2 linked regions of the Drosophila melanogaster genome follow. The protein of the gene in region 1 purifies or fractionates together with the protein of each later gene. This does not show direct contact. Each region holds a gene or a part of one and is shown on either strand. Other genes may lie near its edges.

Region 1 (5,979 bases):
GGCAAGAAGTAAGCCTGATGGAGGAAAGCTCGTCTGCGGGCATCGCCTGCTATTCCCAAAAGCTGCTGGTTATGCGTTAGTCAAACTTCTTTACCAACCAATCAACAACCGACAAAACAAAATCAGTGTTTACTTTTGGAGCGGCTTTTGTTTGTAAACTAAGGAAATAAAACTCTAAAAGTATACAAGTTCTTGTGGTTCATTGTCTGGGAAAGGCGCGAGTGCAATAGTTGTTTAATTGAAGTGTTTCTGGACCAATTTTATATGCAAAACTATTTGAAGAGTGGCGATAATCACAGATTGTTGTCAATAACTTTTGTTGATCTCTTGTACTCCTTTGGTGGCCTATTTTTACAAGGAAAATGTTTACAGCTTAGAAACCTGCGATTTATCGCAAATAAGTTGAAAGCTGGAAATCCTACCTACCCAAATATTTTCAATTGAATTGCAATTAAATTCCAAAATAAGTTTTGGAGTACCCCAAATACAATTTGAATGACCTATCGATTGTTGCATCGGAAGCCAGACTATCGATAACGGTATCGATGTTTTGACCACTTTATTTCGTACCGTATACAGAATATAATATTGGTAAAAAAAATCTGTTAAATGCTGCTCCTGAGGCCTAAGGAGGATCACTTGGACGCCCGTTAGCATTATCCTTTGGCAGAGGACGCAGCCAAGGCACAGACATGTCCAGTTCAAATGGAGGCGTGGCATCAGGGGCCGCGGGAAGCAGCGGCGTCGCTTCGCCTGGCGATTGGATTTGCCCAGATTACGAGTGAGTGCCCGTAAAGATGCAGTGATAGCGGCCAAGTGAGAAGTCCTGCGAGTCTCACACTTCCCTCGATTTTGCAGCTGTCGCCATCTGAACTTCGCCCGCCGTTTGCAGTGCAACAAATGCGACCGGGACCGCGATGGCAGTGATAAGCCGGAGCGCGACAGGGATCGAGACCGGGAGCGGGAACGCGGCAACGGGAGCAGCAGCAGTAGCAGCAGCTCAAGCAAGAAAAAGCTGGGCACCGAGATCGGCAAGGCGGCGGCCGACAAGTCGCGGGGCTTGTTCAGCGCCGAGGACTGGCAGTGCAGCAAATGCGCGAATGTGAACTGGGCCCGTCGCCAAACCTGCAATATGTGCAACGCTCCTAAGTTCTCGGATGTGGAGGAGCGGACTGGTGAGTCCGTAGAAGCCTGATCTGCTTCAAAACCCACTTAACCAGTTTCTTTAAAGGCTTTGGCGGTGGATACAATGATCGCGGCGTGGTAGAGTACAAGGATCGTCAGGATTCGGATAGCGAGTACGATGAGTTCGGTCGTCGCAAGAAGCGAAAGCACGGCGAGCATAGAGAGGACTCAAAGAGGCCCAGAAGGTCTAGCCGAGATGAGCAGCGGAATGATGAGGAAGAAGATGAGGACGACGACGAGGGAGACGACGAGGATCTATCAAAGTACGATCTCTGGGGCGACGAAGAAGTCACTTCCACGGATGTCAAGAGCAAAGAGGGCACTGGCAATGGCGACAAGGAGCGCAAGCGTACCTCACGCGACTCTACCTCTTCCGTGTCCTCCTCGTCGTCGTCCAGTTCGTCCAGCTCCAGCGACTCTTCGTCGAGCAGCTCGAGTAGCTCCAGCAGCGGCGGCAGGCGGAAAACCTCCTCGTCGGGCAGACGTTAGCTGCAACCGTACCCTTTAGGAACTTCTCTTTAATTGCGTCTGTTTTTACACATTTTTCTAAGGCAATCATGCTTGCCTTCTTATTTATTTGCCAGTATGCGCTCAGATGATCATGACATAGGGTACGATGTCCAGCCTAACTCTTAAAGTATAATAAAACATATAATTTAAGAAAACCAGCATTTACATTTATTGTAAGACACCGTAACATTAAAGAATCGGGCCTAATTGAAGCCATCCTCGTTTTGTTTCTTGCTGCTGGCGGCTGCCTCCGCCTGCTGCAGCTCCTTCAGCATTTCCAGCTGCCTTTTTGAGTCGGCGATCTTCTCTTCTGTCACGGTCACGGGGACATCGCAGGAAATCTGTTCCTGCCGCACGAACTGCATCTTCTTGATGGCCTCCTCAAGGAAGGGTATTTGCTGGGCCTGCAGCTGCTTATGGTAAGCCTCTAGCCGCTCTTCCTTTAGGTTTTCGCAGTATATGTCGGTCAACTTTTGGAGGGATTCCTTGCGGGTGATCCAGTGGAAATGTGTGGGCGGTGGCTTGTACACCAGGTCGAGTTTCTCGAGAATCCACTCGAAGCGGGGATAATCCCAACGTCTCAAGTACTTGAGGAACTTCTTGCGTTTGTCGATGAGCTCCTTGAGACGCACCTTGATCATCTTGTCGCGCGGATGCTTGTCCATGTGCTCCTGGTAGCGGCGGATAACTGCAGTCATTTTTGCCACTAAAAGAAGGGCAAATTTGGGGGGAACTGCTATATGTGCACTTTGCAAAGATACATACATTTGGCCTCCATTGAGCCGAAATCCTGGGCATGTCTTTGCACCTCCTTGACCATCTCATCGCGATAGAATTTTGTGGTCAGGTAACTAGCGTTGTTGCTCAGTTTGAACAAGGATTTAACTGACTCGTCGGCTCTACAAAATGGTGAGATGATGTAAATAAACTATTATATTGAGAGAATACTGCAACATACTTATCCAACTCCTTGCAGTCCCTGTATTCCGGCAGCAGTTCGTCGGCTTTCAGAGGAGGCAGCTTGGCTAAATCGCCGCTCTTTTCGGGCTTATAGCACGCGATCTTCTCGGGGCGCATCCATTTGATTTTCAGGTCCGACTTGAATGCATATTCCCGGACAAACTGCCGATGCCCTGCCTGGGCTATATTCAACAGTTTATTCATTAATTCGGCTTTTATTTGTTGGACAAATTTTGGCTAGGTTATATCACTTGGCCAGTGTATACCAACAATCGAAAAGTTATTACTACCCAGCTGTTTGACCCATCGATTTCTTATCGATAGGCCTTGACAGTGTGTGCACACCGGTATTTCTTTAGTCAACAGCTGTAGAAACACCAATTGTTGCCGATTTCTTTCTTTTCGACTGTCGGCTTCTCGCGAAACTGTGATTGTGAAAATTGTACAAATAGAGGCAAATTTAACCATGGCGCACATGTCCCACATGCTCCAGCAGCCTTCGGGGTCGACGCCCTCCAACGTGGGCTCCAGCTCATCGCGCACGATGTCCCTGATGGAGAAACAAAAGTACATCGAGGACTACGACTTTCCCTACTGCGACGAGAGCAACAAATACGAAAAGGTGGCGAAAATTGGCCAAGGCACCTTCGGGTAAGTCTCCAAATTGGTGAAAACTAACTTTAAACTAAAACATACGACCCCTTTGATTACAGAGAGGTTTTTAAGGCTCGCGAGAAAAAGGGCAACAAGAAGTTTGTGGCCATGAAGAAGGTGCTGATGGACAACGAAAAGGAGGGCGTGCGTGAAAAGCAACATCTTAAGAGACGAATTCCTTATTTATATATGTGCTCCCCTAGTTTCCCATCACGGCTCTGCGAGAGATCCGCATCCTGCAGCTGCTAAAGCACGAGAACGTGGTGAATCTGATCGAGATCTGCCGCACCAAGGCCACCGCCACGAATGGTTACAGATCCACCTTCTATTTGGTCTTTGATTTCTGCGAACACGATTTGGCAGGTCTTCTGTCCAACATGAACGTCAAGTTCAGTCTGGGCGAGATTAAGAAGGTTATGCAGCAGCTTTTAAACGGTTTGTATTACATCCACAGCAACAAGGTGAGTCATGTCATTAAGCAAAGTTTTGGTTTTACATTGTATGTATCTGTTTTCATTTGCATTACTAGATCCTGCACCGAGACATGAAAGCTGCCAACGTGCTGATTACCAAGCATGGCATCTTAAAGCTGGCTGACTTTGGCTTGGCCCGTGCTTTTAGCATTCCAAAGAACGAGAGTAAGAATCGCTATACCAATCGCGTAGTAACCTTGTGGTACCGGCCGCCTGAGCTGCTACTTGGTGACCGCAACTATGGTCCACCCGTGGACATGTGGGGAGCCGGCTGCATAATGGCCGAGATGTGGACACGCTCGCCCATCATGCAAGGCAATACGGAGCAGCAGCAGCTAACCTTTATCTCGCAGCTATGCGGCTCCTTTACGCCGGACGTGTGGCCGGGAGTGGAGGAGCTGGAGCTGTACAAATCCATCGAGCTGCCAAAGAACCAGAAGCGTCGAGTCAAGGAGCGCCTGCGTCCGTATGTCAAGGATCAAACCGGCTGTGATCTATTGGACAAATTGCTGACCCTTGATCCCAAGAAACGCATCGATGCGGACACAGCTCTGAATCACGACTTCTTCTGGACGGATCCCATGCCCAGCGACTTGAGCAAGATGCTGTCCCAGCACCTGCAGAGCATGTTCGAGTACCTGGCGCAGCCACGCCGCAGCAACCAGATGCGCAACTATCACCAGCAACTGACCACCATGAACCAGAAGCCCCAGGACAACAGTATGATTGACCGGGTTTGGTAGACTGCCAGAGGTGTACGCACCCGACTAATAGTTTCTCACCTTCAACTAGCGTTAGGTTATTAGGTTAGTGTACAATAAAAATATTGGCATTTGCATTAGCGCTTGCTCCAAATATACCTACATTATGTTTCTCTGCTTCTTATTATTCTTTATTCAAAGTTTCTACAATTACTTGAAGTTGCAAGAAAGGGTATTCACAATCGACTTAAGTATTAGAACAAAAAGAAAAACATTGAAAAGGGGTGTACACACTGGCCGCGAGATGCACGTTGAGGAAACACAGCAAAAGGTAAACAAGGCCAAAAAGGCGGATAAAAAGCAGCGAAGATGTCTGGCAATCATCAAAAGTGACTGCGAGGTGTCTCCAAGCGCTGAACCCACCCCTTACCTGGCGGTTCTCAACGTGGGACTCAGCAATGGACTCACGGAGGAGTGTTTGCTCACGGAGGCTGCCGCGACCGGTGGAAAAGTCATCCAAGTGGTCATGTTGCCGGGCAAATCGTACTGTTTTTTTATTTGTGCCAGCTTGGAAGACTCCCAGCTCATCTATGAGGGAATGCACAATATATCGACCATTGGACAACAGGGAGCTGTAGCCTACCTTAGCTATATAAGGCAACTACCGGCACTTGCGGGAAAAAGTGAGTGGAACAAGCCTCTTCCCAGAGGCCTTCACATAATTGCTGACTTTGTCACCGAAGAGGAGGAGTCAACGCTGTTGAGGGCCATTGGCGAGGATGGCAGAACCTCCGAAGTCACGGGATCTCTAAAGCATCGAAACGTCAAGCACTTCGGCTTTGAGTTTCTTTACGGCACCAATAATGTGGATCCCTCGAAGCCTCTGGAACAGTCGATACCATCAGCATGTGATATTCTATGGCCACGACTAAATAGCTTCGCTTCCACCTGGGACTGGAGTTCTCCTGACCAGCTGACAGTGAATGAATACGAACCCGGTCATGGAATTCCCCCGCATGTGGACACACATAGTGCTTTCTTGGATCCCATTCTTTCGCTGTCCCTGCAATCCGACGTGGTAATGGACTTCCGCCGAGGAGATGACCAGGTTCAAGTCAGACTTCCGCGCCGATCCTTGCTAATAATGTCGGGTGAAGCTCGATACGATTGGACGCATGGCATCAGACCGAAGCACATTGATGTGGTACCCAGTGCATCTGGCGGTTTGACCACTCAAGCCCGCGGCAAGAGAACTTCTTTGACTTTTCGACGCCTGCGAAAAGGTCCCTGCGACTGTTCATACCCCGCGCTTTGCGACACACAGCAAACCAAGGTACCACAGGAGTTGCACGCATCGCTAGCTGCTCAGGCCATCACTCTGGAGCAACAGAACGTCCACGAGGTGTACGATAAGATTGCGGATCACTTCAGCGAAACGCGGCACACGCCTTGGCCACAAGTATCTGAATTTCTGGACTCCTTTGAGCCCCAATCTG
Region 2 (9,599 bases), on another chromosome or scaffold:
ATGATATGAATATTTTAATATGTTGTAAAATACAAAAATTATTAGTACGGCCAAGCGATTGAATTTTCACTTCTTGGTCAAGCAATGGATCTTTTGCAGAAATACTCTAGACCAATCCCATATTTGAACAAGCGCCATTCTCTATTTACAAGGTTGTTAAATAGATATCAGGGAAATGTCTTGTTGGATGGACTAATCATATAAAAGCAATTGCTGGGCAAACAAACCTCTTGTTTTCGTGCCAACTTGAGTTCTAAAGAAAAGAGTTACCTTAACTATGTAAACCCATTTAGTTGGAAGTTCTTTTGCTAAGAAGTCATTATTTTTGTATCCAGAATATCTCAGAATATATTAACTATCTATCTGATTATGTAATGCTCTTGGTTTCTTATAAAATTTACATATTATATAGACGTCAGAGCTCATATGCTTCAAACCAGTTCTAATTTGCATTGATTATTGATGGACCAGTAGTAGTTTAGCTATTTTCCTACGTTTCAGACTAGGGACTTACATTAAACTAGACCAAGCTAGTCAGGAATATTCTTAAAAAAAGTATTAAAAAGCTTAACGAGCTTTGCTACTTTCTCTTACAGTTATTTTATTCATGTACATACATACATATATTATTATAATTCACCATTATAACTCCCCCTTTTCATATTGTTATGCTTAATAGACCTATTTCCGCAACAATAAACAAAAAGGGCCGACTGCAATCAGTGCGTGAACACTTGATATTGCTTTTCCATTTAATTGGAACAACCTAATTATGTTGCATGTTTAAATTTTCCGCCAAGAACTCGAAAATTAAGTCACACTATTCCGCTCTACGGTAACACTTGAAGCGTGAACACTTTTCAAATATCGACCACTGGTTTATTGTAACGGTCGAGAAACGGTCACGCTGGAACGAACTGCAGGCAGTGGGTCGTCAAAATTTTGTTGTTAATCAATAGCAATTAGATAATAAGTGAAATAATGCTCAGACAACTGACACGGTCAATGGGCCCGACCTCGCGGCTGCTTAAGCAGGTCAACTATGGCACAAATGCCCCAGCTGGCACCCACATTCCCGTGACCAAGGCCCTGGAAATTGGACAGTGGGAGGAAAAGCTCAAGGCCGCCGGCGTCGAGGACAGGAAGTTCAACGTGAAATGCATCGTGTCGCATGTCCTGAAGCAGAAGTTTGTAAGTATCTGTGAGAAAAGCTGGCTATCAACATCACTAACCATGTTTACGTTCCGTAGAGTTCGGTTCCTGACTCATTTGACCAGCTGCAGCTAAATCCCGGCCAGCTGGCGGATTTCGAGCGCTTCCTGGAGGCCCGTTGTGCCCGCATGCCGTTGCAGCACATCATTGGCGAGTGGGACTTCATGGACATTACGCTGAAGACATCGCCGTCGGTCTTCATTCCACGCCCCGAAACGGAGGAGTTTATGCGCCTGGTGATCGATGATCACAAGAACGCAAAGCACGTCGATCTTTTGGAGGTGGGCTGCGGCTCGGGCGCCATGTCCTTGTCCATGCTACACAGTCTGCCGCAGGTGGTGGCCACTGCCATTGAGCGTAGCAAGGCGGCAACCGTTCTGGCTGCGGAGAATGCCAAAATGCTGGGGCTGCTGAATCGATTTGAGGTACACAACCACACCATGGAGGAGGACAAGTACCTGCCGGAGGCGCTGAAGGACAAGAAGTACGATTTGATCATCTCCAATCCTCCGTATGTGAAAACTGAGGAGTTTCAGTTTCTGCATCCCGAAGTCGTGGTGTAAGTGATGTTATACCAGATGGATGCAGTGCACTAACTATCTTATATCCCCAGGTATGAGAACCTTAATGCCCTGGACGGTGGGTCCGATGGATTGAGGGTGGCTCGACTGGTTTTCGACTTGGCTTGTCGGCACCTGCGTCCCGGTGGCAAGCTCTGGCTGGAACTGGGCAACGACCACCCGCCGATGGTGAAGACCATTATGAATCTGAAGTACGAGGGCCGGCTCAAGTTCATCGCCGGCTACAGTGACCAGTATCAGCGCGAGAGATTCGTTCAGATCGAGAAGGTCTAGGCGAGATTGCGCCATAGACAGGACGGAATGCTATGACTTTGACAATGCAATTAGCTATAACGTTGCCCATGCATTTAGCTGTGATTTGATTTAAGACCAGACATACCTGCACGCTGCCCAGAGACTCACACCTATATAAACAGAATATATAGCGCTATTAATCCTTAAGTTTCGTCTCTGAATCTTTTAGCAACAACCGCAGGCGGTATTACTTCACAAATATACCTGTATAAATTGCACAATGCAATTAGCTGTTTGATTTATGACCATATTATTATCAGTATACAAAAACCACAACGACTTTTACCTAAGGCTTTCTACTGCATTTTTGATCCTATAATAATGGATTAACATGATTTTAAAGATCAATAGGTTAAAAGTATAATGCACCTATAATAACTGGTCACTGATTTAAACTATGGCGATTATGATTTATAACCAGAGGCTTGCTGCCATAAATTGGAGGGTGTTAATGATCATCGCGGATCGAGTATAATGCTGTTTAATCAAACTGATGTATTCTATATCTGCGATAAGCAAAATGCTAACCATATTTTTGGCCTGAAAGATGTGTATCCTGTCAATATATAGAATCAGAATATTTCTATGCAAATTAGAAAGTTTTTGCTTAAAGTTACCACTTTAATGCTTATAGGTGTACTGATTATGAAAACAAGGACACATGTCCACAAGGATTACCATAATTATGAACCCGAGTGCATAAATCCCCCGACTTCGCATCTGAATCTTGTTGTAACCGCTCCGCTGGAGAGCTTTAAGCTCCGGAGCGGATAAAAGCTCCGACAGAGTGGCTCGGAGCAACAAGTGGCTAACTTCCGTTGCCAGTTGGAAGTCGAAACTCGCGCCGGACGAGTCTGCGGAATCCGGGTGCGCGAGTGGAACGCGGATTTAGATTGTCGTAGCTCTTTAATTCAATTGACGATTTCGAGCTGCGATCTCCTTCGTTCGGCTGGTGTGTGTTGTTTCACTTTCAAGTACGCATACATATGTGTAGTATAATTAACAAATGGCTAAATCATAATTAAAGTCGGAGTTTCAGTGGATATCACAATGAGCGCTTGATGAAAGTCAAGAAGAGGGAACTTAAAAAGCGCCGAAACAAAACAAAAACGAGAAACACGTTAAACGAGAAATTGATTTTAAAAATTCTACATAAATTTGACCATATAGATTTGGGTAAATGAATGAATGTGCATATATATGTACATGTATATATATATACATACGCCCAAACTGCGATTTGAAGGCGGTTTGAATGTGGATTGGAAACTTTTAGAAACCAATTAGCCAGATCGTGACATTACTTAATGCATTTATCCGCCCGATCGACGCGTGCAAGTGTGTGCCTGTGTGCGTGAGTGCGTGCGTGCGTAAACATGAATACCGAATTGAATCGAGTTCAAACTTGCGTTCTTTTCGCCGACTGGTTTTCCGGCGAGGCTGGCTTAATCGCCTTGCGTTTGTAATTTTAGCACACTTTCAATATTTATTGTCGGTCCCTGCTCCCCGGCGCAGAAAATGCGAATAACAATCTGAGCAAACAAGATTCGGCAACGAATTTGCAGCTTGCCGCGCTGTGCAAATAAAAGTATATATAAAAGTATGTACATATATACATTTATATATAGCTGGTAATGCCTCCTTTGGCAGCATCAATATGTGCACCTGCTACGTGCAACACCGACTTGCAGCAACAGCCAACCGATGAGCGAAAGTCGCACGCCGATTGTGTTAACAAGTGTGTGGCTGGCTGCTCCCTGCCCGCATTTTAATTCATCATCCGCACCGTGTGCCAAGGCACTGCGATTCCCAATCCGTGGAGCTGTGAACGTTTTTGGCGACCTGCAGGCTAAGCAAGCGATTTATATGCTGCCGCTCACATGGCACAAGGTCCCATCCAAAAACAGCAGCGGCCAAGATAGTAGTTCATATGCACATATTTGGGTTCTTAACAGGTTAATTGTCATTTTATAATGATATGGGTTTAATAGGTTTCCATATCTGATCCAAAACTATACAGAAATGGAAGAAAGTCATCATAGGTGATCTTTTATTTGATAATTTCTTACATAAAGTTACTACTTCTTGTTCCCCATTGTACGTTGTGTACAGTGCGCGACGGCTAAGAAAACGGAGTGAAAATCAAGATAGTCGTTATCTAGTTTAGATGGCCTTTCGCAGTCGGGGACTGGGAAACATTGAAATGCAAATACGCCGCCTCGGTAGTTTCATTTGTGTGTCAAAAATTGTGTGGGGGTGTGGGGGGTTAACCCGGCTTAGACTCTAATCTGATCGATCGGAGTGTGAGAAATGGCCTGCTAATGGAATACTTACCACTTTCCCACACTTTTCAATCGCTTCAGCCGAGTGTGTCACCTGTGCGAGCCCATTAATACCCAAGGATGAGCTGGACAAACGAAAGTTAGTTGCGATCGCGTGAAAAGGGAAACCGGACAGTCGGTTTTTTGAGTGCGGATACAAAGTCTACATGTGGCACAACGACAACAGCATCGGCCAGTAATTTAAATGCTTCGCGGCGGCAATTGAAAGGGCCAGCAATTAACCACGACTACTGCAGCTGCGAGGCATAGTGGAAAATCACTTTTATAGACGTACATACATAACTCTATATATACATAGAGTTAGCTCCTGCAGCAAAATGAAGAACCGCCAGCGAACGCGCCGAATATCGCTAAATGAAAACCACAACAGATACATGGGCAGCGGCGGCATCGATGTACAAATAGTTACCAATACAAAGGAGCCCAATCAAGTCAATTTAAATTCATCGTCAGCCACGACGACCTCAGCGGAGGCTGCTCTGCCCGCTTCGCTTCCACTTGCTCAGATAGCGCAGCAGCCACATACCCATCCCCATCCCCATCCCAATCCCCATCTCCACCAGCAACACCAGCTGATTGTGACGCCCACAACGATGACGGGCAAGTATCATCCAGCGCACGCCAAGCTGCGAAGATGCAAATCGACGCCGAGTCTCAATTGCGATGGCATGGCGGAGCCCATGGAGGAGGACCAGCTCCATCGCTTTGCAGCATGCTCACGTAACCCCGCCGCGGAGGCTCAGCAGCATGCACAGCCATCGTGCAACAGCAGCAGCAGCAGCAGCGACGGCAGCTGCAACAGCAACAAGTGCAGCAGCAACATCTGCGGTGCGCAGCCAACAACTCCGGAGTCATTGCGCTTCGGATGCGCTCACTACAAGCGGCGGGCCATGTTCGTGGTAAGTGCAACAGGCAGTCCAACTCCATTCATATTATCTATGGATGCTTTTCCAAGCATTACATAAAAGGAAAAGCCCCAGAAAAGTTATAAAAGTTATACACTTGAACTTCTTTGATATGTATATCAATACAAATTTTAATCCTTTTTTAGTGTATCGTAGTATCTATAACCATTCTTAAGATTAGTAGATAGATGTTCGTAGAAAGACTAGACGGATCCATGTATCTAGCAGTCTTACTTGTAGTGAGATTAGTTTATTCAAACCTCAAATGTGAAACCAGTCAACTTATGTGATATAAGAACAAACTTCAATTTTGAAAGTTCTTTTTTTATTTTATACGGGTATAGTTCAATTCCTGGGTCATCAGATAAAGAATTATGCAATTGGAACCCCTATGTCATGATTAGAAAGCGGATCAGTCATTTCACTTTTATAAAATGAATCCTAAAAATACATTGAAATAAATTCAAAGTGATAAAGCCATTAAACATTTCACCCATTTGGAAAATTTTCAAGAAGATTATGATGGCGCCTCTAAATGGCATTTGTATGCCTATTTATCCATCTATCTATCTATGTGTGTGTGTGTGTCTATCCAACACAGCTACCTTCCTGAAAATGGGCGCATTTAACCTTTATTTATTCGTTCCTAAACAAATAAAGTGGCTAAACTCTAAACAGACACCTTTGGCGAAGATTCTTTTGTGTCTGTCTGCTGACTAGATTTTGAATTCAATTGGAGGGCATCGCTATTTGCACGGCAAGTGTTTGGCTTGTGTGGACAGCTTGACGATGTCCGGCATCCAAAAAACTAACTGGTCAGCATGCTCCGCTGAGCAGGAACTGAGCAGGAGGCGAGTGGCCACTGGCCAGTTAACACCTCCATTCGCCATTCATCTGGGCAAACAATGCGTTTGTCTTGATCGCTCGCGTTTGGATAACAAATTATGGGGCATCTAAAAATGTTGTGTGTGCATATAAAGCAATCGTAGCACGGCTATATTCAGGTTCTTTACCTTAACAATTAGTAGAGCCAGCAGACATAATTATCGTAAGGTGATAAGTACAGAAGTTCGAAGGTGGGAAAAGTAACTCAGTGCTGGGGAAAGTGGTAACCATTTCATGTATAAAGTATCTCATGCAGAGAAGACTGCAGCTGCACTTGATTAGATAGATTTGTTTGTGAATGACCTGGATTATTAAATAAAGAAAAAGAAAGTTAAATGTAAATATTTAAATACTTATAATTCCAACAGTAGTGAGCGCTTATTTGTTGTTGAAAAGCAGCCAATTCGCGATATGAATTATTAATTCCCCAAAAATTCTGTATTATGCGCTATGGCCTTACAATACTTTCCAAAAAATGTCACGTAAATCCGTACACACGCTTCAATCTGTCCCACATTTTAATAAAATTCGAATGTAGAGGTTTTTGCTTTCGTCTGTGCACCGCGAGAAATTCGGATAAGCGAGGGTTTTGTGCACTAATGAGGTGCCCATTGAGTGTTGAATCAGCTGGGTTATTTTATAGTCAAATATTTATTTTCGCCCGACAGTGCGTGAAATAAATGTATACATGAATGTGGACATAAGCTGAGAGCAGTATGTGCAATCCCCCAAGTGGAGCAATGCCCCATGGATATCGCCTGTTCCCGCGAATCTTGTATCAATTTGTGTTAGAAGCTTTGTTTCGTCTTGGCTAAATAAATTTGAGATGTCTGGAGTTAGCCAATTGCAGATGCAAACGATCATTAAAATACGATCGTTAGTGAAGCACAGCAATGAAAGCCGGGGGGAATGACAAAGAAACCGGATTCGAAGACTCTTCTCCGGTTCGGTTCTGTACTTCGAGTGTTATCATCGCAGCAGCAGCAGAGTTGAAATAAATACTTGTATACGAAAAAACTGTTGTTAAGTTATAAATAATTCTCAAAGATAGTGGAGATAGATGTGTGCGCGAGGCTGGAGGCAGATACAAATGGCTGGGTGTTGGCTGTAACTAAGCCGAACTCGAGGATACACAAGATAATTAAGGGCATAAATTAACTTATTTTCAAACTTTATCCCCAAGACAAAACTGATAGAACTATATCATGTAGTTCGAGCTGTGCATCGACAGGTGAACTAATTAGCAGCCACCTAATTAAACGACACGAGTACCTTTGGCATCTTTACAATCGGATTGGGATTCACCCGCTGATTTGACTCGAAATTCGTACAAAATTCGATTCAGTTTCAAGTGCCTTGTTTATGATAATGCTAAGTTATTGCCTTTGGCATGTAGACGTCACTAGTAGATTTGTTTTTTAGTCGGTTTCCAGGCAGATTTCTTAAATTAGCAACTCCATTTGGGGAGTTAGGAGTCGTGCTAATTGCCGCTCGATAATAGGTTTTTCGTAGTCCTTGACTGAGGGGTGTAGTCCATCGGCAGGTGTGGCGGGGAGCAATCTCAGCTCCATTTAAAGTGGAATTTTTTCGAGCAGCGATTTCTTTTCAGCACTAATTTGATCTGATACTGATCACGCAACTATATCTTTCTCAGACCCCCTGCTGCAACAAGTTCTACAAGTGCCGATTTTGCCACGACGAGAACGAGACGCATCACTTCGATCGCAAAACGCTCACCGAACTAATATGCTCCGAGTGCAATACGCGGCAAACGGTGCGGGAGCAGTGCCTCAATTGCGGCGTGAGATTTGGTAAGGTAAGATATCCATCCAGGTGTCCAAAAATCACAGCAAAACCCTACTAGTAATATCATTTTGATGTACTTACAGTACACCTGCCTGATCTGCAACCTCTTCGATGATGCGGACAAGCAGCAGTACCATTGTCATGGATGTGGGATTTGTCGCATTGGCGGTGCGGAGAACTTCTTCCACTGCGAGGTGTGCAACATGTGCCTACCTATTCAGCTGAAGATCGATGGCCACCGGGTGAGTTGGTACTACATTTGGCACTTCATTGGGCTTGATTAAGATTTGGCCTGTAAGTGGGAATGCTGACCTCCGCGATTCGAAAGCAAATCAAAGAAACACATTAACTTTTTTTTTTTTTTGTCAATTCATTACCAAAACCGGTTGCCTAATTGCTATATGTAGCGATATATGATCTGCGATCTGCAATCTGGGATCCAGTTGAGTGGATATGAATGTCAAATGTGCTGAAGCAATGACTTCATTAATTGACAGCGAATTGGGCCAGAGACTGGCATGGCTGATTGCTAAATCCTTGCTAATTGACAACGTGTCTATTTTCCCGTAGTGCGTGGAGAACATCTCGCGATCGCACTGCCCCGTGTGCCTGGGCGACATCCACACTTCGCGCATACCCTGCCACATTCCCGACTGCGGACACCTGCTGCACAAGATGTGCTTCGACCAGCTGCTGGCCTCCGGCCACTACACCTGTCCCACCTGCCAGACCTCGCTGATCGATATGACGGCGCTGTGGGTATACTTGGACGACCAGGCGGAGCGCATGCCGGTGCCACTGAAGTACGAGAATCAGCGAGTGCACATATTCTGCAACGATTGTCACAAGGTACGACTAGATATACATAATACTAACATTCATGAAAAGCTCTTATAACCTTATCCAATTCATTACAGACTTCAAAAACCAAATTCCATTTCATCGGACTAAAGTGCGTCCATTGCGGCGCCTACAATACAACGCAGGATGTTAAACGCCGCCTGTCCCTGGTCACCGATGAACCATCCTCGGCGTGATATCCACCCGATTCAAACCACAGCATCAGCATCCGCATCTATATTCGCATCAGCAACAGGAAACCTCTTGCCATGCTACCCACACATCTGAGGACACTGATTTGTTAGCTCAAGACAACACAACTGAAATCGAAACGCATTGAATTTAGATCAAATTCGAGCTGGTATCGAATATTAACCATACAAACAAACATAAACAAAAGGCTCCCTAAATGATTTAAATATTGGTCTGGTCCCCTTAAGATTTAAAAATATCAATTAGTTTTTATGGAAATAGTTAGTTTCAATCGTAATAGGCATTTAAAAAACATTTTACCCTAATTGAGTTTTTAAATCTCCAGAGGATTTCAACGCACCAATATTTTGTACACAACACACATTGTTAAATTTAAATTTTCACTCGAATTTCAAGTATTCTATTTTGCAAAAATTATTTTGTGTAAATCTCGAATTTCTCTGTACACATTGCAAGCTCCGTTGCCACGAATAAAAAAAGTAAACGTACAAAAAGGGATATTTAGTGTATTTCCTTTTATA

What was found. The genes of interacting proteins can lie anywhere in the genome.
Region 2: the proteins of Cdk9 (region 1) and Rchy1 purify together in Drosophila melanogaster (affinity purification with western blotting; one study listed by BioGRID). This does not show direct contact.

Annotation. Positions count from the first base shown.
Region 1 is NT_033778.4:22,634,733-22,640,711, reverse strand, and holds Cdk9 (Cyclin-dependent kinase 9), read left to right. Parts: upstream 1-2,984; 5' UTR 2,985-3,121; coding exon 3,122-3,306; intron 3,307-3,368; coding exon 3,369-3,453; intron 3,454-3,512; coding exon 3,513-3,770; intron 3,771-3,838; coding exon 3,839-4,525; 3' UTR 4,526-4,649; downstream 4,650-5,979. Other genes in the region: RpS24 (ribosomal protein S24), read left to right, coding at 1-12; CG3732 (uncharacterized protein), read left to right, coding at 693-781, 859-1,175, 1,232-1,674; bonsai, read right to left, coding at 1,899-2,401, 2,461-2,594, 2,654-2,859; CG17807 (uncharacterized protein), read left to right, coding at 4,788-5,979.
Region 2 is NT_033779.5:6,458,991-6,468,589, reverse strand, and holds Rchy1 (ring finger and CHY zinc finger domain containing 1), read left to right. Parts: upstream 1-2,920; 5' UTR 2,921-3,061; intron 3,062-4,450; 5' UTR 4,451-4,746; coding exon 4,747-5,328; intron 5,329-7,873; coding exon 7,874-8,035; intron 8,036-8,108; coding exon 8,109-8,267; intron 8,268-8,595; coding exon 8,596-8,874; intron 8,875-8,942; coding exon 8,943-9,062; 3' UTR 9,063-9,575; downstream 9,576-9,599. Other genes in the region: HemK1 (HemK methyltransferase 1), read left to right, coding at 982-1,191, 1,251-1,771, 1,826-2,066.